Coturnix japonica: one gene and its partners. The protein of the gene in region 2 interacts with the protein of the main gene of each other region in a pairwise test. Links are inferred from orthologs where the notes say so. Each region holds a gene or a part of one and is shown on either strand. Other genes may lie near its edges. The genes, in order: CDR2, TRIM23, GEM and CARD9.

Evidence for each region.
Region 1: the proteins of TRIM23 (region 2) and CDR2 interact in binary tests that used the Homo sapiens proteins (3 or more experiments, as listed by UniProt). The two-hybrid records come from large-scale screens. The link is inferred for Coturnix japonica from reciprocal best matches to the Homo sapiens genes TRIM23 and CDR2.
Region 3: the proteins of TRIM23 (region 2) and GEM interact in binary tests that used the Homo sapiens proteins (3 or more experiments, as listed by UniProt). The two-hybrid records come from large-scale screens. The link is inferred for Coturnix japonica from reciprocal best matches to the Homo sapiens genes TRIM23 and GEM.
Region 4: the proteins of TRIM23 (region 2) and CARD9 interact in binary tests that used the Homo sapiens proteins (3 or more experiments, as listed by UniProt). The two-hybrid records come from large-scale screens. The link is inferred for Coturnix japonica from reciprocal best matches to the Homo sapiens genes TRIM23 and CARD9.

The regions. Positions count from the first base shown.
Region 1 is NC_029529.1:8,357,910-8,363,400, forward strand, and holds part of CDR2 (cerebellar degeneration-related protein 2), read right to left. Parts: intron 4,434-5,491; coding exon 4,321-4,433; intron 351-4,320; coding exon 202-350; intron 1-201.
Region 2 is NC_029547.1:14,361,445-14,366,935, reverse strand, and holds part of TRIM23 (E3 ubiquitin-protein ligase TRIM23), read right to left. Parts: intron 4,418-5,491; coding exon 4,296-4,417; intron 3,372-4,295; coding exon 3,093-3,371; intron 2,541-3,092; coding exon 2,358-2,540; intron 1,811-2,357; coding exon 1,595-1,810; intron 602-1,594; coding exon 467-601; intron 1-466.
Region 3 is NC_029517.1:114,173,000-114,179,252, forward strand, and holds the start of GEM (GTP-binding protein GEM), read right to left. Parts: upstream 4,042-6,253; 5' UTR 3,901-4,041; intron 2,488-3,900; 5' UTR 2,478-2,487; coding exon 2,144-2,477; intron 1-2,143. UniProt on the Homo sapiens protein: Could be a regulatory protein, possibly participating in receptor-mediated signal transduction at the plasma membrane. Has guanine nucleotide-binding activity but undetectable intrinsic GTPase activity.
Region 4 is NC_029532.1:6,404,515-6,409,189, forward strand, and holds part of CARD9 (caspase recruitment domain-containing protein 9), read left to right. Parts: intron 1-83; coding exon 84-409; intron 410-970; coding exon 971-1,150; intron 1,151-1,324; coding exon 1,325-1,474; intron 1,475-1,925; coding exon 1,926-2,051; intron 2,052-2,166; coding exon 2,167-2,358; intron 2,359-2,850; coding exon 2,851-2,892; intron 2,893-3,228; exon of another isoform or gene 3,229-3,494; coding exon 3,495-3,540; exon of another isoform or gene 3,541-4,675. UniProt on the Homo sapiens protein: Adapter protein that plays a key role in innate immune response against fungi by forming signaling complexes downstream of C-type lectin receptors.

The DNA of each region.
Region 1 (5,491 bases), on a different chromosome or scaffold from region 2:
CTTGACAGTTTAATCCAGGACAGATTAGTTCCCATCCCTCCCCATTCCAGCTTCTCTGAAGCTCTTTGGCCACAAATCACCTTTAAATAAAACTTTCAGTTTAAGAGTGTTGTAGAACAATGCTAGACAAACAGCCACCAAAAAGCTGCATGTATCAGTTGAGTAGAGGGGAGAAAAGAGGATCTAGCTTAGGTTTGTTACCTTAGTATCTTTTGTTGTGACGCTCTGCTCTCTGCAACTAGTTTTTGATTAGTGTCTTCTAGTTCTCTTGCTGTCACATCCAGCTGTTCATAAACTTTTGCATGTTGATCATTCATTTGACGCAAGAGCTCCACTTGCTTTGTGAGATACTGCAAGACAGCATTGCTGTTACAAGTCTATACTAGAAACACAGGATAGGGCTACTATTCTGCAGTTTTGTTCACATTAAATACCTGCTATGATTGCTGTGATTTAGAAACGTACAGGTTCCAGTGGTTGCTTTGGTTACTGCCCAGTTGAAAAGGTGCAATCAGTAGCTTAGCTACTTCTCTTGCCTTTGTCATGGAGGTCAGCAAAGGCTGATCAACCAGTCCTTTACCCACATGAGTTGGGTTGGTTCGTGCAAACTGTGTTTATCTGTTTAGCCATCCTTGCTGCAGTTAAACTATTGCCAGTGCTACCACAAACCCATCTGGATTGGGTTTGTCTGTGCTGCAGTCATCACCAACTCAGCCACAAACCTGGATTTCAACACAGTTCTTCACAGAGTCCTTCTAAAAGTTGCACTGAACTACATCATAAATTTTGTAATAATGTTGACCCAATAATTTTCTCAGCATTTAAACTGAAGTATTGGGTAGCACTACCCTGATTGTTTTTCTGCTTGTCTATGTTTGAATCAGCGTTAGGTTCAGCAAAACACATTTTAGGATGTGGTCACACCTGAGATTCTGCAGACTCCTATGTGTCAGGAAGTAGAACCAAGCTATTGGATTCAGTCTTTAATTACCTACAGGGAACTATTTCAGTCATTATAATGCTGAAAAAGTCTCCTGCACTTTGTTTTGTTTTTTTAAATACAACTCCACACAAAGTGATCTCATTTTAATTCCCTTTACTTTTATGGTTAACAAAATAACCTGCTAAGTGTCTAGGATTATTTCAGAAAGTTAACCATCACCTAAGACTCTCAGTACAAGTGCCTTATATCGTCCCAGCTAGGGCAGCACTGAGCCAGCTTCAAAAAAAAGAAAAAAAGAACAAAAATTTATAATAAACAGACTTGATAACAAACCCCCCAACCCCTAAACTATTGAATACTTATTTGTTACGTAGAATTAACGCCATAAAATAAATTCTGTGTTACTACATACTAAACATATGAGCACCTGTTGGACTTCTGAGCAGAACTACATCTCCGTACACACAGTTACATGCTGAAAACTTGTAACATTCTGCTTAACCTTTTACCTCCTTAAAAGATCGATGTGTTTATATTTTAGGCAATTTAAGAACAGATTATAAGTTAATCTGAGACTAGTAACTGCTGCATAGACTTCCTGAAGATCAGCATGACAGCAGTTGCCAGATCCTTCTGCAGCCTGTGTGCACGTGGCAGGATTTACACTAAAATAGTACATGGATTAGCTGCAGAATCTCAGTGTGACCCTCTCCAGATTAACTTTTCCTGTTGGTTACTCTCAGAAAGAGCTACAGAGATCTTCATATTTCCTCCAGCAATATAAGAGTGGCTGAACACAGAAACCAAGGTTTTGGTGGCAGAATTTGATGTCGCCATTTCTCCTAATGGGCTTTTGTGGAAGTTTTAACTGAATGGAAGATGTGAAATGCTATTTCCTTCATCTTGAGTCTTCAGCATCTTCAGTGCTGGTATCAAGTTGGCCTGGTGTGACCAGAACATCAAAACAAGGTATGGCTCTGGTAACACCTTAGGAATTGACATTTGTTCATACTGCACAACAGTTGAGTACATATAATGGAGCAGCAGTTGAGACTTCAGGCACTCTTGCACACAATGAGAGGAGAGCTCTGGTTCTCTGCACACCAACTTGAGAAATACTACGATGCAGACAGAGATAAAGCTGCCCTTTCAATCCAGCACTTATTACACCTGCAGCAATTAGTTTGTGGAACACGTGTCAGCACAGAGGTCAGATAGAATGATCCAAGGCAGTAAAACAATTAATATGTTAACTTTTAACTTATCAACTGTAATCTTAAGCATCCCAAAGCCTTTGACCCTTCCTTTTTTAGTGCAGACAAATAGTACCGTATTTCAAAATATCATTCTATTAATCATTCTATGTTTGGGAGTTTGCTTCCTGTAAGATATGAATTAGTAGGGGAAAAAAAAATCATTGCTTTTTTGTACAGAAAAGGGTAGTCTAAAGTCTGGCAAAGTAGCTCCAAAAGCATTGAAAGAATGACTGTATTGCAGAGACTTTAACATTAGGAACATCAAGTGTAAACCCTGGAAATAGCATTGAATATTTTATCCTGTGCAGCAGGGAATTCCCGGTTCCCATTGGCGAAACCAAGCAAGTTAAGAGAATAAATAAGTCAGTCTGAACATACAAGGACATGACCCTGCTATACACCAACTACACATCACTGCTAGAAGGATGCTTCTCACCACTTCCTTGTGCTAAAGCTCTCCTATGTAGAGAGCTTAAAAACAACAAACCAAAATGAAACAAGAAGATCTTAGTCAAATAAGCTGGCTAAAACCAAACGAGATACCACATCCTTAATAGCACAAGGATATTTCTGTAAATAAATGCAACTGAGCAATCGGGTCTTTTTCCATGTTTCAAGACTGCATTATAATACAGCCACTGATTAAGAAGCTCTGCTCAAGGAGCCGGGTTAGTTGTGCACTGCAGAGTTAGGCTGTGTTATTTCAAAATCTGCTGTATCTGCGTTAAACACTTTCTTAAACATGGCTGTCATACAGGAGTTGAACCTGGAGTAGAACAGTATTTGCACAGCACACCTTGAAGTGTGCCATGCAACACACCCTGAAGTGCTCTCTAGATCTAAAGAATCAACCTTCCCTGTAAAAGCCTCATCTCAGTGAGGCAAGTCTCTGCATAAGTGAATATTAACAAAACAAAAAGAAAAAAAAGAGCTATAGCACTGGCAATCAATACAGGCCATTCTAACCATTGTGTCACCGAATGGATGTGATAACAAAGACATAGTTTGGTTCTTTCTACTATTAAGTGAAAACATCAGGTTATAAAACAAAAGCGCTTTATAAAATAAACGAAAAGCTGCTTATTTATATCAACGTGACTATTTTAGAAGGCACCTATATACTTCTAAGGCTCAAGTTTAGGCTTTTTAAGTCACCTATTGCTACAACAATGATAAAAGGTTTAAGCCCTGAGCTGCCGCTGTACAAAAATACTCCAACTGTAACCACGTAAGTAAAGCTTGCACAAGTGAATTCTGATTTTGTAAGAATTTAGCATATACCAGTCACAGCCTATTCCCTGTGATTCATACCAGAGCCAAATTGAAACACTGGACTTCATTTCCATTACACTGCCAGAGTAATGGAGAAGTACTGAATATTTAATACATTTAATTATTAGAGGCCGCACATTGCCCTCAAATAGCTTTAAAAAAAATATCATTATATTGGCAAATGTTAGGTCTGCAAGAATATAAGCACCATTAGAGAAACTGCCAAGAATGGCTGGGGCTTCCATGGAGTAACAAAGATGAGTGTTTCCAAAAGGGCAGCTCTGATTCTCCCTCCCGAAAACACCTAAGAACCACACGTCCTGTATTTAGGTATTGTTCTGTGTTTGTTCTTGTTGGGTTTTAGTTTTTAACTGAACTGCAGTTCCCTTTACCCCAGTAGAAGAACACATCCTTCAACTTTCCTTAAATCTTTATCATGCTTTTTTGTCAAGCATTTAAATTTCACTGCAGTAATCATTAATAATTAAAATAATATGAAGTTGTTAATTTATTCATCATATAATTTCATATCATTCCTACCAGACAAGACCAGCAAAATTTAGCTATAACATTCCTGAAATAGCTTGTCTGTAGAAAAAATATCAGTTATGTGTCATTATTCAAGCTGAATCCAACAGGAATTTTGTGGCACAAAGACTCCATTAATGAGACAAATGGGTCTAACAATGATCAAAGCCTGTGAAAGTTCTTGAGGTAGCAGGAGCAGTTAAAGGCTGACGCTTTCAAGAGAAACACTGAACAATCAGATGTTAAGAAATCAGTTCTCAGCTTACGAGCTGTTCTGTTGCACATCTACATGGCTTACACCTGGATTCTTGTAATATTTACCTCTATCTCCTGCAGTTGCTCTTGATTTGTTGCATACATTTGCTGTAAAGATTCTTCTAGTTCAGTGTTGCGGTCCAGTAGCGTCTTCCCAAGCTCAGCAGCAAGGTGAAGATCTAAACAAAGAAGTCACATGCACATAAGGTACGGACCCGAAAGCATGATCTGTTTTTCAAGTATTTGGTTAAAATACTGAGTAGAATTATTATTTTTTTAAATGACTGCGGTACCCAAAGATGAAGTTGCATACAGATGCATTGGCCATTCAGATACTGTCTGTAAGGCAAAGACTTAAGTAAGTCCTGAAACCTAGAAGGTATTCCTTCTTCATGGACCTTCCTGGGGTCCTCCTTGGGTACCACAGCCTTAGGGCAGACACAGGCAGACACCTTCTCTTTGCTCCCCTCCATCTGCCCTGTACTGCACGCACCTCTAACCACAGCATCTGTTAACTGTAACTATTTCACTGTGGTTACAACAGTCACGTTTCAGAAGAATAAGCACAAAACACCCCATAAGTGCTCATTAGGTTATTCTGAGGCCAAAGCTGATTGCATCCTCATTTACTGTGTTGTTTGCCAAGGAGCTCGGGTCGCGCAGGATCAAGAGCAAAATGAAAGTTTGAGGCACTTGATGGTGAACTAGTAAAATCAAAGACACAAAACTTAAAGAAATGCAGCTATTCTGCATTTCAGGCTCATAAACCTGGGAGACAGCAATTGTTTTATGTGCTCCAAAACACCATTTTAAGTGGAATTTGTTCGCAGGCACTTAATCTCTATTTCACTTCAATCACCTCCAGGGTACAGTGACTGTAGTTGTTTCATATTAAGAAATAAGTCATCTGAACACCCAGCTCCTTTCTGAAGGGAAGCAGCATGAGTATTGCTAGATGTTTCATATTATTATGTTTAAAGATGCATGCAATTTAAAAACTAACATAACGTGATGAAATCAATCCTGTGTTATTGCTAAAATAGTAACTACACTGTGCAGGTATTACATGTTCCAAATTCAACAGATTTCTAACGTTACTTTTCACCTCCTTCCCATTACCTGGGTCTGACCAGGTTTCTCCTGCATGCAGGCAGCCTTGTTAGTTCTCATATGGGTAGGGATAGCATCACTAATGGGAAAGAAGCAGAAGGAGGTTCAAGAAAAACCCAGATTCTCT
Region 2 (5,491 bases):
CATATACACACCACTTCTGGATTAGGTACTTGTTGCAGAAATAACAGGCATGCAATGAATTAATGAATTAAAATTAAATAATTGTTTTCCAAAAGGATATGGCATGAAACCTCTCAAGAGAACACCGTATAAGAGCACATACTGGCACATCAGGGATGTCGCCAAATAAAAGTATTTCTGGAATTCATGAATGCTAACCTAAATCTCTGAAGAAAAGCAGCTGATCTTCAAACAAAACTACTGGTGTAGCCAACGTTAAACGTTGTTTCTTGTACTAATTATAACAGAGTGGTTTTGTTGCCCCAGAGAGCACTCATCTTGTGATAACTTCATGTCGAACTGTCTACATTTGCTGAAACAAATAGAGCACTGTAAAGAAGATACATAATTCCTGCTTTGCTTTCTTTTAAAGCACATCTAGCACTTGATAAATTGGGTAGTTATATTTTCATGAGATTAAAAGTACCTTTGTAAAAGTGACAGGTATGCTAGCATCCAGCTGCACATGGTCAGCAAGTTCTGTAAATTGTTGCTGCTGCTTCTGTAATGTCTCTAGCAGTCTTGTAATTTCCTGCTTGGCCAACACTACTCTGCAGTCATCCTAAATAGACAAAAACCACAAAAGCATAACGCTTTCTTAGTAATTTACTTAGCAGAATGAAACAACCGTAAACACAACAGTTGGAAAGAGAACTTAAAACTTTCATTTTAAACAAATACTTTAGGTAAAGAAATATTTACATAAAAACTTTAAAAACCAAAAAAAAGTACTTAGATAATTAGGTCTTGTCATTCTTCTCTAATACCAGTAGATACTGAACAGTTCTGTGTTTTAAAAAAAGTTATTCCTAGATCTCTTAGTCCTTCATGTAAAAGAATATAAATTATAAAACAGAGTAAAGCTAAACATTTAGAATATTTACATCATTCACACATAACATCATCAGCTGAAATACAGTTGCAGCTTCACATCACATAGTAACACAATTGATAAAAAAGATTATCAGTACTGTGACGTTGCTGACAAAGATTTGCAGTTAAATGTACATTTGACTCAGCAATCAGACACTAGATAAAAATTTTTAAGTGCAAGTAACACACTAATGAAGTAATTTCTCACACAGTTCATTATAGATGCCATCTACTGTTTGTTATCATTAAGAGAATATTGCATCAGACAGTCTTACACATTCACTTCCTTCACACATTTAATCTGATACTGAATTATCCATACTGCAAGTGCAAAGATCAAGAGCAAGTCATTTAGTATAAAACTGTTTTCAAAAAACCATTTTCAAAAAACTGTTAGCAACTGCAGCTATAAAATCCTTCCCACAAATCCCACAGGCGTTTTCTTCCTTCCTTCCATTTCACCTCTGTTCCAAAAACCTCTCCCGTATTCAACCAGAAGTTACTCTAGAGTCATGCCATAGAATTTACAGCAACTGGAGGACTTGGCCAATCTCATGTAATATAATTACAGTTTTAAAATTATAAAATAAAATAAAATGCAGAACACTTTTTTGTTTGTAGCCTAAACTTACACTGCATTATCTTTCTCTTGCCAGATGCTGCAGCTCACTTGCCAACCTACCTGTTGTAAAGTCTTTTCACAATGAAGGCAAGCTGTTGAAACCTGTGACAATAGGATAGTCATGTCTTCTTGTTGCTGTCTAAGCCAAATCAATTTCTCTCTCACATGAGCATCAACAACACTAAGAGCCATTTCCTCCTGTCGACAGAGGGTTTCATGAAGATCCGAAAAATAGGCTCGGACACATGAGCGAGCATTCTCTGCAGTCCCAGGTACCTACAGTGTCACAATCAAAATGTCAAGAGAATCAAAAACACCACAAGACTGTACAAGTGTATGTGTCATTTTATTCATATCTCTTAATTTTGTTCAAGCCTGTTTAGTTACCTTACAGTTCTAGTCCCATTTACATAGACAGCCTCATCGTTGTTAAGGTCAAGATTTCAGATAAATTATTTCAATAATCAAGTAGCCTTTACACCTCTTTCCTTACTGACTCTCTACATTCATGATGACTAAAAACCTTGACACGTACTACAAGATTGCCTTTAACTGTTGTCTCAATAACAATATTGGGACAGAAGTCTTAATCTCTCAGTAGACATTAAAACTTAAAAGTTTTGTCTTGTAAAGCCTACATATAGTTTTCCAAGAACTTCCTTGAAATGTAATTGTAATGAAGTATGTTATAATTAACTACCTCCCAAAAAGATCTTTATTTGTTAAAAGCTTAAAAACAACCTTACAAGCTCCCATTTGTTATTACAATCTGTAAATATTCTGTATATGCAAGAAAGAAAAAACAACAAAGAAGATAGCATACATGTTCTGTGTGGGCCATTCCAACTCCATCTTCAACAATTTGCTCTCCTCCTTCTATATGCTGAACTATTCCAACTAATTTTCTGGAATAATCTGAGATTTCTTCTGTGAAAGTTCTTATACAGTGGGCCATGTCTAAAATGGATGCACGAATCTGGTTTGCTTCTGGTTCCAAGACAGAATGCTATTAATTAAAAGCAACATATCAATGATCAATCAAATATTTTCTTTAAATATCACTTCTGTCGTACTAGATAAAAAATATATTAATTAAGTAAATCACATAAATGCATTATTTAGAATCTAAATACTATTCTACTACTAAGACAGGCATCTAGCAATTATATAAGTACAAACAGAAATTTGCCTATTTACTATAATTACTTATTAAAGCACACACAAAAGGGAGGTTGGAATGCAACTGATTGGGTGAACAAACTACAAGATGAATAACAACCTTCAGGTCAGGCAATAAAATACCATGAGAAGATCTGAAAAGCATCAAATTAACTATATAATTTACTTATAAGTAATATAGTCTTAATCGTAACTATTTTCCCTGTAACTTTTATTGTGGCAGTTCTCCTAATGAAAAAGGAAAGAAAATAATGACAGTACTTCTATAAAAGCACATCAAGATTCTGCTCTCCTCTCTTGATAACTTTTTCTACTTAAATTGGATAAATAATATGCAAGTCATTCCATAGCATGACCAGAAACAGATTCTCAGCAGTACCTTATGACCTTGATGCTTCCCATACTCTTTGCAGACACAACACATGAGAGGACTGGCTTGACAATCCTCTTCTAAACAAACAAACTCAATAGCATGCACTTGGTGTTGGGAGCACATGGTCTTCTCATGAGGTTTATCAGCAAGAGGTACACGTTTGTGTTTCGCTAGTGTCTTTGTAGAATGAGTAAGCTGAGAACAGTCTGCACACAGGTGAGTGGCACAAACAGTGCAATAAACAGATGCAACATGGGCTTCATCTTCATCACAGCGAATGATACTCTAAAAAAATAACACCAACATAAACCAAAATTGTTAGTATTTATTAATATTTATTAATATATTAATAATATTTATTAATAAAATATTAAAGTATTTATTATTTATTAATAATTTATTAATTAATAATAAAAGTAATTATTAATATAAATTATAAATAATTTTCAGCAACAGCGGAAAAGTCAGAAGACCCGACACCAATATGGACTACTTTGAAAACCTGACCTCTTGTTACTTAACAATAATAAAAAAATCACTTTCCCTAACAGTAAGTTCCAATATTACTCTAGAGGGTTTTGATTGAGCGGTTAATTGACTTTCTAAATGTACACTTCAGCAGAAGCAGTAGAGCTTTTGAGGCTAAAGTAATTCAGGTTCCAGACAGCTCTTCAACATAAGCATTATGGAAAGAAGAATGAGAAAGTTAGAGACAAAACAACAATAGAAAAATATGTGCTCAGAACAGTGATCTGCTCCTAAAATTGCACTGCATGCTTTGTGCATAACAGCTGTTAATACCAGACTGCTTAAAGCAGTCCTTTCTGGTAAAGAAGCTATTATACAACACAGTCACACTGAATGACTATAAAAGGTAACTATCCAGAAAGAAGAGCTGTTTCAAAGTCTGTAAAAAGAGATGCTAGGAAGTTCCAGAAAACTCTCCTAAAATTATTACAAATAAAATATCCAAACAAGTAACCCTCTGGAAAAGTCTTTAAAGCCTAAAAAAGGGGGGAAGACTTGGTAATAACTTCTCTGATTTAGTAAGTGCACATTAGAATTAAATTATGAATTACTGATAATCTTCATGTTAGATACAGAAAGAAAACAACTTTATTAATGCAAACACACTTGCCAAGAAAATTTTCTTCTATCTAATAATATTTTTACACAAATGTAACACAGTTCTTTTTCCAAAATCTGTACCTCTCCAGATAGACCAATGGCTTCTTCTGCTGTCCCACACTGTCCAGGAGGCCCATTCTGCAGCCGTTCCAATAGTTCCAACAAAGCAAAATTCTTTTTCAGTCCCCAGACACCAGAATCTCCTATTTTTGAGAAACAACTAAATAAAGTGAGGGGATAGGAATAAAACGCCTAAGCAAATAACATAATGAGAATTTCACAAAGCACAGAGAAGATTTTAACTAACATTAAAAAGAACATATAATTCCAGTGAGGTACCATGGCTGCTCAATGTCAGCTCACAATAACATTCCATCCTGTTCCTTCTTTCCATCATGGAATTATTTACTGTTTATGCAGATTGTCCCTACTTAAGAAATGCCACTTGTAAAATAATCCGCGATAACTAACAACAAAAGACCATAAGAACTATAATTATCATGAAATTTAATACAATTTACTTAACTATGTATAGTTAACATTTCTACTGCACTAACAGATATACAGCAGAAAACCTATGCCAGCTATCTCCTCTATCAAAATTTTGTACAGGGTTGCTGACACAAGAAAAGACAGTAGCATTTCCTAGACAAAGCCGCATGTACATAACACTTTCATATTTCAAATACTTACAGTCCAAGCAAACATACCAGTGCAAGAATATAAACAGATCTATCAGTGCACTTCTGCTCATTAAGGCATTGTAAAAAAGTAAATAAAATGGCTTGTCATTTCATTCAAGTAACAACATAAATGTTGCTTTAACCATGAACATAGAAAACAATTTTAGAAAACAGCACCAGATCCAGAAAAAAAATCTGGGCTTCCTCTTGTAATTCAGGTGCAAAGACCACTGGAACAGCAGTTGGCTCCAAACAACCTTCAGAAACTCCTGACACTTTCAGTCCACATATTTTGTGTCTGACAGGAGAGTCCCTCTGACACAACCTCACAGAACCTACATCCCAGTTATCTTCCCAAAGAGAAAGCCCAGGCTACTTTAACCATCTGATTCTCCCAAGTGTTGTTTCAAGCATCCTCTATTACAGCGCCCTGTGGCAGCCTGGTAGCTGTATGTCCTCTGCATCCTTCTGGAATTCAGATGTCGCCTCAACTAACCTAGACTTTTTTTTCCCCCCACAATACTGAGAATAGTCAAACACACCACAAATATTAATGTATTGTTTCAAAGCTTTTGAAGGAAAATACATAATAAT
Region 3 (6,253 bases), on a different chromosome or scaffold from region 2:
ATCCCATTTCTTTCCCATTTCACAGTTTCCCACATTACCTTTGATGTCAAAAAGCAAAGCAGTCAACAAACCACAGCAGTTATTTATTTTGTACTGAAACCAAAATGACCCATATCTAGATTATAAGCGCTGCGTGACTAAGTTCTGCCTAGATCTGGAGGGGCTGTTCCCACTCAATCACAATCAATCCTTGCTGTGAAATTCTCAGTCTAGTTTCCACTTCAAATACTAATTCTTCTTCCCCCCAGATCCAAGGACATTTGGATGAGTAGTGTGAGGCTCAAATCCCCCTCTAGACTTGTGTTGCTGGCCAGTGAAAGATGTTGGGCTTAGGGTTTCTCAGAATACTGAACCTTTCCCTGCACTGTGTGAGGAGTCTGTTCCAGCTATGCTTGTAGATAGGACCATGCCTTAACTCCTGCCTCATACACTTTCTTTTGGGTATTAGTGGAGTGAACTTTTCCCCAAATTGTAATCACAGGCTTTTCTCGAAGCCAGAAATCTACAACCAAGCAAAAGACTCAGCCAAAAATACTCTGTATTTAAAATAAAATCAAACACTGTAAACAAGAGCACAGGCTTGACACAGCTTAAAATTGAAGGATTCAAAGCACAAAGCTAATCAAGAGGGGCATCTGTGTTCATGAGTCAGATGAATCTTATAGTTAGTTGCAAAACTAATCCCTTGGAGCAGCTGTATTCCCCTCTGTGAATTGGCTGTCCTGAGACCATCATCTCTTGCAATAATATTTCCAGTTTGTAAGCTCAAGTTTGGATAATGGTTTCTTTGACTGATCCAGCATTGGCATGGGAACAAGATCCATCTGCACCAGAGGACAACATTTAGAGGACTACTTCTTTGTTCTCCATGACACAGCGAGAGGCTACAAGTACGTAACCACACTACTTGAAGATGTTCTGCCCCTGATCCGAATCATAGAATCATGGAAGCTTTTCAGTTGGAAAGGACCCTTAAGGGCCATCTAATTCAACTCCCTTGCCATGAACAGGGACACCTACAGCTAGATCAGGTTGGTTACAGCTCCATCCAGTGAGCTTACTTTGAAGTCAACATTTTAAAAGGGGAAATACAACAGCAGGTTTCCTGATACTTCCATAAAGCTGGCCTTGAAAACTTGTCATGGCCATCCTCCAAGCAGTAGTGCTGGGAGTGCAAATGAATGAAGAATCCATACTGCTTCTCATGAAGAAGGAAACTATCTGACAAGGATGTGCAAAGTAAATCCTGGCTTAAGAACCAAAAAACCTGTCCTGCCTATGCTCCACCAAAGGCTGGAAAAAAAAAGCTCAGAAACTCTCCGTGCTGTCATGGGCATCAGCACAAGCGGAACAGATAGAGGAGAGAAATGCTCTGTGTGTTGAATAGCAAAACCAGCCAGCAACTTGCACGTGTTACCAAGATGACAGCACCTGTGTCCTTAGGACCACAGCAGGCTTCTATCACTGCATGTCCCTTCTTCCACAGCACCTTGCTCACACCCTCATGGCTGGGTGCCACAGCCTCACCTTCTGCAATGACTAGTCTTTGGGACTAAGGAAGGTTTCAAAATCCTCACTAACACGGGAACATGAAATGAGGGGTAGATATATTTTGCTCAGACTCCCTACAGCCTATGCTGACACAACATATTCATATGTAAGGCTGAGATAACATATAATGGCAAATGTTTTGGAGAATTGGATAGGGCTTTTTATTTTTCATTGCATATTATTTCTGAGCATTACATTCTTGTGGACCACAAGGAAAGGTCCTTGTTTTCCTCTGCCCTATAGAAAGCTGGAAATAGCCCTTTGGAGCCTGTGGTGACACAAGAATAGGACCAGAATGAATACTGAATGGCAGCTTCCAACAAATTCTTTGAAATAAAAAAGCATGAGAATCTGTATTGTTCCTTTTCAGATGCTTTGAGTTGTTATTAGAGAGTACCATCCTCGTTGTAGCTTACTTTGCTTATTCTTGTTTTCTTAAGAGAGATGCATGTGTTGGAATTGCTTTTGACAATCAGATCCAGATGTTTGCTAGGTCAATTTTACATTAATTGACCTTTCTGATTTTCCACGTCAATTTCTGCTGCCATGGCTGGTGGTGAGCAAACACAGACCCCAGAGCATGGTGACCTACCTCCCAGCACCTCGCAGTCGCTGTCAATGCTGTCGTGTACCCCTGCAAAGATGTTGGCCAGCGACGATTTGCCCACACCTTGTTCCCCAATCAGCACCACTCTGTAGCAGTTGCTGCAGGACTCAGAGGAGATGACAGAGTCAGATGACTCCGAGGACCAGCTCCTTCTGTAGTATTCATCAGGACTGATGGTGTATCGCTTCTGCACATTGTACTCATTGGAGTCCTTCTGGACCAACAGGTTCTTCCCATCAGCAGGAATGCTCCATCGCTGCTGCTGCTGCTGCAGGCTGCTGTGGTGGGTGCGACGCATGGTAACGTTGTTGAGGGTCATTTTTTTACCCCTGGTGAGAAATGTGGAAGCCATACACTTTATTCTCAAAATACTTACAAACACACCATCTCAAGGCATCAGGTCCTGCTCTTCTATGGGGATACAGTATGCAACAACAACAACAAAAAAGGAGACTCCACACTTTTGCAGTTGCTAGTACTAGTATGCAAAGAAATATTTCTAGCTTGTGAGTCAGAGGCTTTTTCCTGGGGATGATGCCACCCCCATACACTAATCCTCTCTGTCTTTAGCCTGTACATGTTTCCTGTAGTGCTAAGTGTATGGGCAGGGAAGCACTCAGCAGAGCTCACATATGGCTGCATCCCCATCAAGAGATGGGCAGCACCTGCAGGCAACGCTCCCTGCCCTCCTGCCTCCTGGGGCAAGCAGAGGGACCCATCCCTCATACCTCAAACTCACAATCTTACACAGCTCCCATAGGAGAGGAAAGCCATGCAAGCAAGCACATGTCTTTGGGTCTCATCTATGTCGGGATAAGCTTAAAACAGTGGCTTTCTGGCTGCTAGCAGGGACACAACCAAGTCCAATGACTTTTCAGAGGAGGTATATGTTCAAGCCATTACAGAAGGTGGCACTGGCAGAAAAAGATCATAAGTTTACAAATACTAAATCAGAAACTTCATCTGTTTCACAATTAGCTAATAGGTTAGCTCTTCCAACCTTAGCATGGCCCCTAATTACACTTAAATTAGCAAACTCAGTTTTGAGCGGGTTGGCGGCAGAGCACAGTGATGTCATTCTCACGGGCCACCAGCTACCATTTTTAGGAATGTTACTTCTGTGGCTATTTGGACATTTTGCTTTTTGGAGTATATCTGAATTTTATCAGCTCTGTTCTCCATGTCAGTAGGCAGGAGAGCTGCCCATGAAATGAACTTTCAAACTTGAATAACAAGCGGTGAATGAAAACAAGCACAGCAACACATGAAAACAACATGTTCGGATCACTACTCCTTTTCACACAAAGCTATCTGAAAACTTCTTAGAATGAACATAGATCAGGCTGGAGAATAAGCAGACCAAAACCACTTTCTATCTGATCTTATTACAGCACTCACAGTACTTACTCTGTGACACGCAGTGCTTAGTGGCAAAACTAGATTCTGACAAGAAACTAGGCATCAAGCAAAGCCTGCTTCACAAAGTCAGATAGGAACCGCAGTTTGATTTACCATGCATTACTTTCTTTCAGTTTCCCCAGTGAAAAGACCAGATGAGAAAAAGCAATTCCAATTCAGTCAGATATCAGAGCCCAAACAAATGATGACCATCAATAAACAATCACGTCGCAGTCCAAGCCCAGGTTTGATGGCATGCACTGCACTCAGCTGTGTGGGTCTACAAAGCCACAACAAACCCCACAGACACAGGACCCAATGCACAGTGGCCAGAGATTCCTTACTTGTATGTGACCGTCCACGCTGTCAGCTCCGGATTCGCGCTGCCTTCCGCTCCGTGGGCTGTGTTACACTGAGCTGCTCTGCCAGAGTAAATCCCCTCCCGCTTACGGGCTGCCTCTTTAATTCCTTCTCAGCGAACCTGGTTTATATTAAGCCCATCTGATCGGAGACAGGGCTTTTCCGTGACGTGGTTGGCCTTTCCATCCAACAGCCAACCCCCAACTGGGAGGAAGCAGACATGCAGAAAAGCAAAAACTTACAAACAGCCTCAAAAGACTTACTTGAAATCATATGATTGTCTTGGTGTTGCCAGTAAAACAAACACATTTGGGGCTGACATGAGGAAAACAGGCAAGTGGAAAAATTAAAAAAAAACATGTCCTTCCATCTTGCTCAGTTCTGCATTCAAACGCCAGCAGGATTAATGGTGTTTTTAAAACTACGTGTTTCATTAATGAATATAATGCAGTAAATGTGTGATGTTCTCTGTCTGCAAAATGCAGTTAACTCCCCACTGGACAAGATGTTTTTTTGTGGAATAAAAGATCTGAATATCATTTTAGAATTATCTCACAAGCATGAATATTATTCTGTTGTTGTTTTGTTTTTTTTGTTTTGTTTTGGTTTGGTTTATTTGTCTTTTAAAGAGATCCAAAACATACAATCCTACTTTTTCCATCACCTTCCAAGGCTCTACCAGCCATCTCCCACCCCTGCTGCAGCACTCCTCCTGCAAGGGCTCAACAGAACGGCTGCCCACAGACTGAGTGCTGCTCCAGCTGGACGCCAGCAAAGACGGATGTGAATTACAGAGCACAGAGCCCGGGCGACACGGTGCAGATTCTGTCTGCAGTTTATTAGGAGAGATGGCTATACAGTGTATGCACCACAAAGCATGTGCCTGCTCCTCAAATGGTGCCATTTCTAACAGCCTGTGTGGAAATCACAATTAACAGAGCAAAGAAATAAACCTCCACAAAATACTTGGTAGGGATACCATCAGTTATACAGAAGTCTACAGCAAACTCCCACTATTTTTCCTTCTTTTTCCAAACCTGTGACTGCCCTTCCCCTGGCAGCTGAGCTTTAGCACCAGCGCTGTGCAGGGTGGAACATCCCTTCCCTTGGTACTGCCTGGCACTCATGTCACAGACTTCTGCATTTTTGTGTCTCACATAAGCCTTGTACAGAACATTTCCTCTGATAATGCAGCCCTTTATGAAACTCTTCCACTGAGATATGCCTGATTTCTCTCCCCTTCAGCTTTGTTGCACTTCTGCATTTTTCATGAGGATTTTCAGGGATCTTCTGAGCCCATCCTGTTGGATCACCTCTGTTCAGCAGTGGCTGCCCTGGCTCCAAGCCCTGCAGCTCTGCGTAGGATGCACACAACAACTGTTTGTGCTCACTGTACAGCACAGCAAAACACGGCACAACCCCTGTCAGGGAATGTTTATGGCAAGGCCAGTGGGTCTCAAAGCAGAGCACTTTGCTGTCAGCACACCGAGTTCTGAAGTTGCTCCTCCCTTTTGCAAAATGTAAATGAAGTGGGGGAGCGGATGGCTGCAGAGCTGCGTGCTGCACCCTCAAGGGATTTCAGTTCTCTTTATGTCGCCTGTCACTCGTCACCTCCTATAATAATGCAAAACCTGTCCATCACAGGGCTGCAGAGTTTTATGGCCAGATGGATGCCAGCAGAACCGTGGGCTCTAACGTCTCACCCAAATGTTTAACTTGTATGATAGCAGAAAGCACAGACAGCGGAAATGAATCACAGTCAGAAAAGGCTTTGCGTTTAGTTATGGCTCGTGTTAGATCAGCGATTGCCAGACATTGTGTGTCGTCTTCATAGCAATCAAGGTAAAGCAAACACAGCTCTCCAGTGATCCCACAATACATGCCCTGCTATTTGCTTACCAGGCATAAGAGCAGGTTAATTAATGAATTGTGGATGGAACTCTACTCAATAAGGCTGACCATGGGCCTGCATTACCAAACACACCTCCACAGACTGATACTGGGCTCTGCGATCCTGATCTGCCCTGTCCTCTCACACTCTTTGCCTGTCAACAAATCTGCAGCAAAAACTGCTAGAGACACAGCACAAGAAGAGAAAAACCATAAGGCCAGGTGCTGTCGTAAAAGCACGAGGGCTTGGATGCTGCTGGCTTGTGCAATATTAAACTTAGAGTGATCTCATGTTTGAATACTATCCATTCTGTGCTTCAATAATCATGTCTTAAAGGAATGCTCTCTGCAGGATGAAGTAAACTCCTCACTGTCATCTCTCTCTGTCCGCTTACAGTTTGACCAGGTGGTGCTCATTGCAATTAGGCAGGAATTTTCCATCAGATA
Region 4 (4,675 bases), on a different chromosome or scaffold from region 2:
AAGTGAGTGAAATTCTGGAGCGCGCGCGTGTGTGTGTGTGTTGCAGACAGGACAGCAGTTAGTGATACTTGTCTACCTGACAGACACAGCTGGGGAGTCAGGCCTGAGCCAGCTCCTGATGAATGAAATTACAAAGCTGCAGAGAACAGTGCAGGAGGAGCGGCAGAAGGCCCAGGAGCTCACCGTGTGGCTGCACACCAAAGAGAACATGATCAGAGAGATGTGGGTGAGGGACAGCCTGCTCCGCAAGCACCAAGAGCGGGTGCAGAAGATGAAGGAGGAGAGGGACAGTCTAAGCAAGGAGCTGCGGAAGTGCAAGGATGAGAACTATAACCTGGCAATGAGCTATGCCAGACAGAGCGAGGAGAAGAGCAGTGCCCTCATGAAGAACAGGGACCTGCTCCTAGAGGTGAGTGACCCCCTTCTTAAGCATCCTCCTTCTTGCTTGATCCCTGAAGAGCTGTGCTGTACATCAGGTGTGTCTTTGCCTGGGATGGTGTGGCTTAGTCTTGATCCCTGAAGAGCTGTGCTGTACATCAGGTGTGTCTTTGCCTGGGATGGTGTGGCTTAGTCTTGATCCCTGAAGAGCTGTGCTGTACATCAGGTGTGTCTTTGCCTGGGATGGTGTGGCTTAGTCTGAGTTATTGTGTGTATTCCTTGCAGGTGGTATGTCTTAGTGGTCCCTGGCTCAGCCCTGTAGGCCCATGTGTTACAAGCTGTGCCATGAAGAATCGAGTCTTCCCCTTGTTTGAGGCTGGGCCTTCTCACAAGGGCAATGTAGAACCAGCCTGTTGTACCCATTTAGCACAAAGTCTCAGCTCCCCAGAACACCAGACTTCCTAAGGAACATAGAGCTGGGGAAAAGCTTGCACCATGCTTGCCTGATAAATGGGGAACTCTGCCACGAGAGCACTGCTTTTGCAACCAGGCTTTTGTGTCTGTTACTGATGAGCTCTGAACCTCCTTGTAGATTGACAGCTTGAAGCATAGCCTCATGAAGGCTGAGGATGACTGCAAACTAGAGCGTAAACACTCAATGAAACTGAAGCACGCCATAGAACAGCGTCCGAGCCATGAAGTGATGTGGGAGATCCAGCAGGAGAAGGAGTTGCTTTTGGCCAAGAATCAGGAGCTGGAGAACACTCTCCAGGTTGGTGGGGGGGTGACTGGGTGAGGAATCTAAAGAAATTATTCTTCTATGCAGCCAGCACAGCGATGGAGCTGTACTGAGTGTTTTGAGGGTCAGCTATGGCCTTGTTCTCCCAAGTTGTACAGAGAGCACGTTGGATTTCAGAGTTAGATGGTTGCTGTATCTTTTGTTCAGCAGGTTGCCAGAGAACAGAATTTGGAGAAGAATCTCTCCCGTGAGACTGTGCAGAATGACTGCAGCCAGATACTGGAGCGCAGGGACCTGCTGAACACCCTGTACCACCTCCGCAAGGAGCTGCGCCAAGCCGAGGTGCTCCGAGACAAAGTGTGTGGTGCAGTACAAATCCCTGCTGGGGCTCAGTGGGGTCAGATGGGCAGATTAAGCACATAAAGTGTCTTACCAGTGAAGCAGCAGAGCTGCGAGGCAGCATTCGCTGATGCTTCTATTCTAGGGTCTGTGTTGCAGTTTGAGGGAAAAGATGTGCTAATATTCTAGTGGTCTGAGTCTGTGACATTAACTGTGTTACCTGTTGATGCCTGTGCCTCAGCCTGCAGGGTGATGGGAGCTTATATCATGATTGACAGCTCAGGTACATGTAAAATCTGCCATGTTAGCAGGCTTTCTAGTCATACTGCCTGGTCTTCTGGTTGGCTTTGCTCCGGCAGGGCAGTCTGGCTTTGGTGTTGCAGGGAAGTCTGGCTATAGCAATCTGTGATATAGAGCAGAAGTGATGAGATTCTAGCTTGGGCTCACCCCACAAGCCATGTCTCAACAGTATGCAGAGGAAAAAGAGATACTTGAACTACAGTGCATGTCTCTGAGGAAGGACTCCCAGATGTATAGAAAACGGATGGATGCTGTCTTACAGCAGATGGAGGAAGTGGCTTCAGAAAGAGACCAGGTGATAAAACGTTCCTCCAGAAGCTGCTGCTAATCCCTGGCTTGCTGCTTGAAGCAGGCAGGTATTGTAACCCTGAATGTGGTGTCGTGCTACAACACGTTGCCTCTTACACCAGGCACTGCTGACCAGAGAACAGTTCTACATGCAGTACTCAAAGAACCTGATTGAGAGGGATGCTTATCGGAAGCAGATTCGGGAGCTGGGGGAGCGATGCGATGAGCTGCAGCTGCAACTCTTCCAAAAGGAGAGTCAGCTACTGGCTACTGAAACCAAGCTGAAAAGGCTGCAACTGGAGCTGCCTGCACTGGTATGTTTGTGGGGTTATTGTGTGTGATGAGTTGGAAAGTGTTGAGTCTAGGATCCAAATAAGACTGCTTTGAGACACTGAGACCTAACCAATCCGATTTCAGCAAGCAGTGGCCACCTGCTTGGGTAACCATTTATTTCTGTGAAGACGTGATGGTTCTTAGGAGCTCACCCTGGTCTGCTGAAGCCTTACACATTTGGAGTGCTTCCAGACACCATAAAGGCATTGTCACCCACTAAAGAGTGAACTCTGGAGTCTGTACAAGCCATTTGGGTGAAATAGGAGCAGGGTATGAGAGTTCATGGAATTAAATGAGACATCTGAAGACTTGTAATTATTGTGGCATCTTATGTGCTTTCTCCAAATGGTCAGATGAGTGTAGGAGGAAGTTAGTTCACATTTCTATCTTCTGGAGCTTTTGATGTCCTCTGTGTTCCATTGCAGCCATTTATTCACTCATGAGGAGTAACAAACTTACTGGTTTTATTTCAGACTTCTGACCTGGATGACACCTCCTCCAGAGATTCCCAGGATGTGAGTAGGGTGCCTTGTTTATGTTTCATTTTCTCCTGGGATGGTTTCAGCTTCCTCAGTTGCGCTAATTCCCAAAGAAGCAGCAGTCTGTGCTCCATGGGTCAGGCTCACAGCAGTGACATCAAGTCCTGAGGCAGCAAAGCAGGCTAACAGCTAAGGGTGGCTTCTCCTTATGTCCTGAGACTTCTGACCATGGGGATGCAGCTGTGATAAGATTTAAGTCCAAGCAGACCAGAAGATTCAAATTATTTTGCATTGCTTCTAATCTCTCTCTTATGAGAGAATGTGCAAAAATAAGTATTATCCTGAGAACATGCGTAGAAAAGAGGGTTTTGGTTTTTTCCAGCTTAGTTCATAACTGTGGTAGGGGTTGTCACATTGTCTGGAGACAAAATGAATGAGCCCATAGTCATGGAGGATAAGTCTGTGTGTAGATACACAGCTTCTAGTTCAGAATGTTTCCTGTTTTGCTTACAGCAAGATGCAGTGGGGGAAGGTCGGTTATATGCCTGTGTCCTGTGTTCCTGCATTTGTTCCTAGCTATTGTCTGAGAAAGAATATGGAGTACTTCTCATGATCTTAATTTGTTTGTGTCCCAATAGCTTACTCTTCATGCTCACCTAGATGAAGATACACACCTGACTGAAAGTAAGGTTTCTACTGGGGAAAACATACAGCATGGTTCTTGATGGGGTTTCCCAGTGTTCAGAGGGACAGGAACAGACACTTTTAGTGCAGAAGAGGAATCCACTGACTGAGGGTTTGGTCATTTGGGTGAAATAGGAGCAGGGTATGAGAGTTCGTGGAATTAAATGAGACATTTGAGCACTGCCTTCTGAATTGGGCCAGCCAAAATCACCTGGTACACAATGCCTTCAAAAAGCAGCTCCTGGATGCCTCTTCTTCACACAGTCCTCTCGTGTTTGTGGCTGAGCTGAGAATGGAACAAGCATCCTTCCACTCCAGCTCAACCACATGTCTTTCCCCAGAGACATTTCTTTCCTCTCTCTTATGTTGCAGGCTATTTTCACAAAAGCAGAACCATGTAATTAACACTGTCCCTGGTTCAGTTCTTGTGGCAGCCCCAGTGGAAATGATTCAGCAGCACAGAGAAGAGCAAACAGGGTCCTTTAAAGCTTGAGATTCTCCTTTGAAACATGTTCCAAAAGGAAGGAATCAAGCAGAGATCCTCACCTGAAAGAATTAAGCAATCATTCTCTGAGATGGGAGACTTTTCACAGCAGCTGCCACACTGAAACAAAGCCTTTTCTTACCCTACCTCAGCCAAATCAGAATGACATATCACAGTATCTGATCACTGCATTAGGAGTTGAGCTAAAATACGATCTGTTGAGTATCTGAATGTGCACATCTTCCCTGTGGCCCAACACCAACAAACTGTGATTCATGTTTAGTGGGATTTCTTCTTGTTATCTCCATCATTATTCTTTCAGTGACATTAGGCAGAGGTGCTGCTCTGCACTGGTTCATTTTGCTTCTCCACAAGCAGAAATTAGACAGATGGTGTCTGGTGATCCTATGGGGAATTCCATCCAGTCTAAACAAGACTCAGAGGTCACGCAGAATGAGCAGGGTCTTGTGCAATGGTCACAAGATTGAATACTGAATGTTTCAAGGCCTGGGTTTGGCTTGCTGTGGATGCTGTATACTGCTGGGCAGCTCTTACATGACAGCTATTGCCGTGTGATGAACTGGTGGAAGGAGAAGTTACTTCAACATGGCAGCTGTGACTGAGATTGTGATTTGCTTTTCTGTTTTCTCT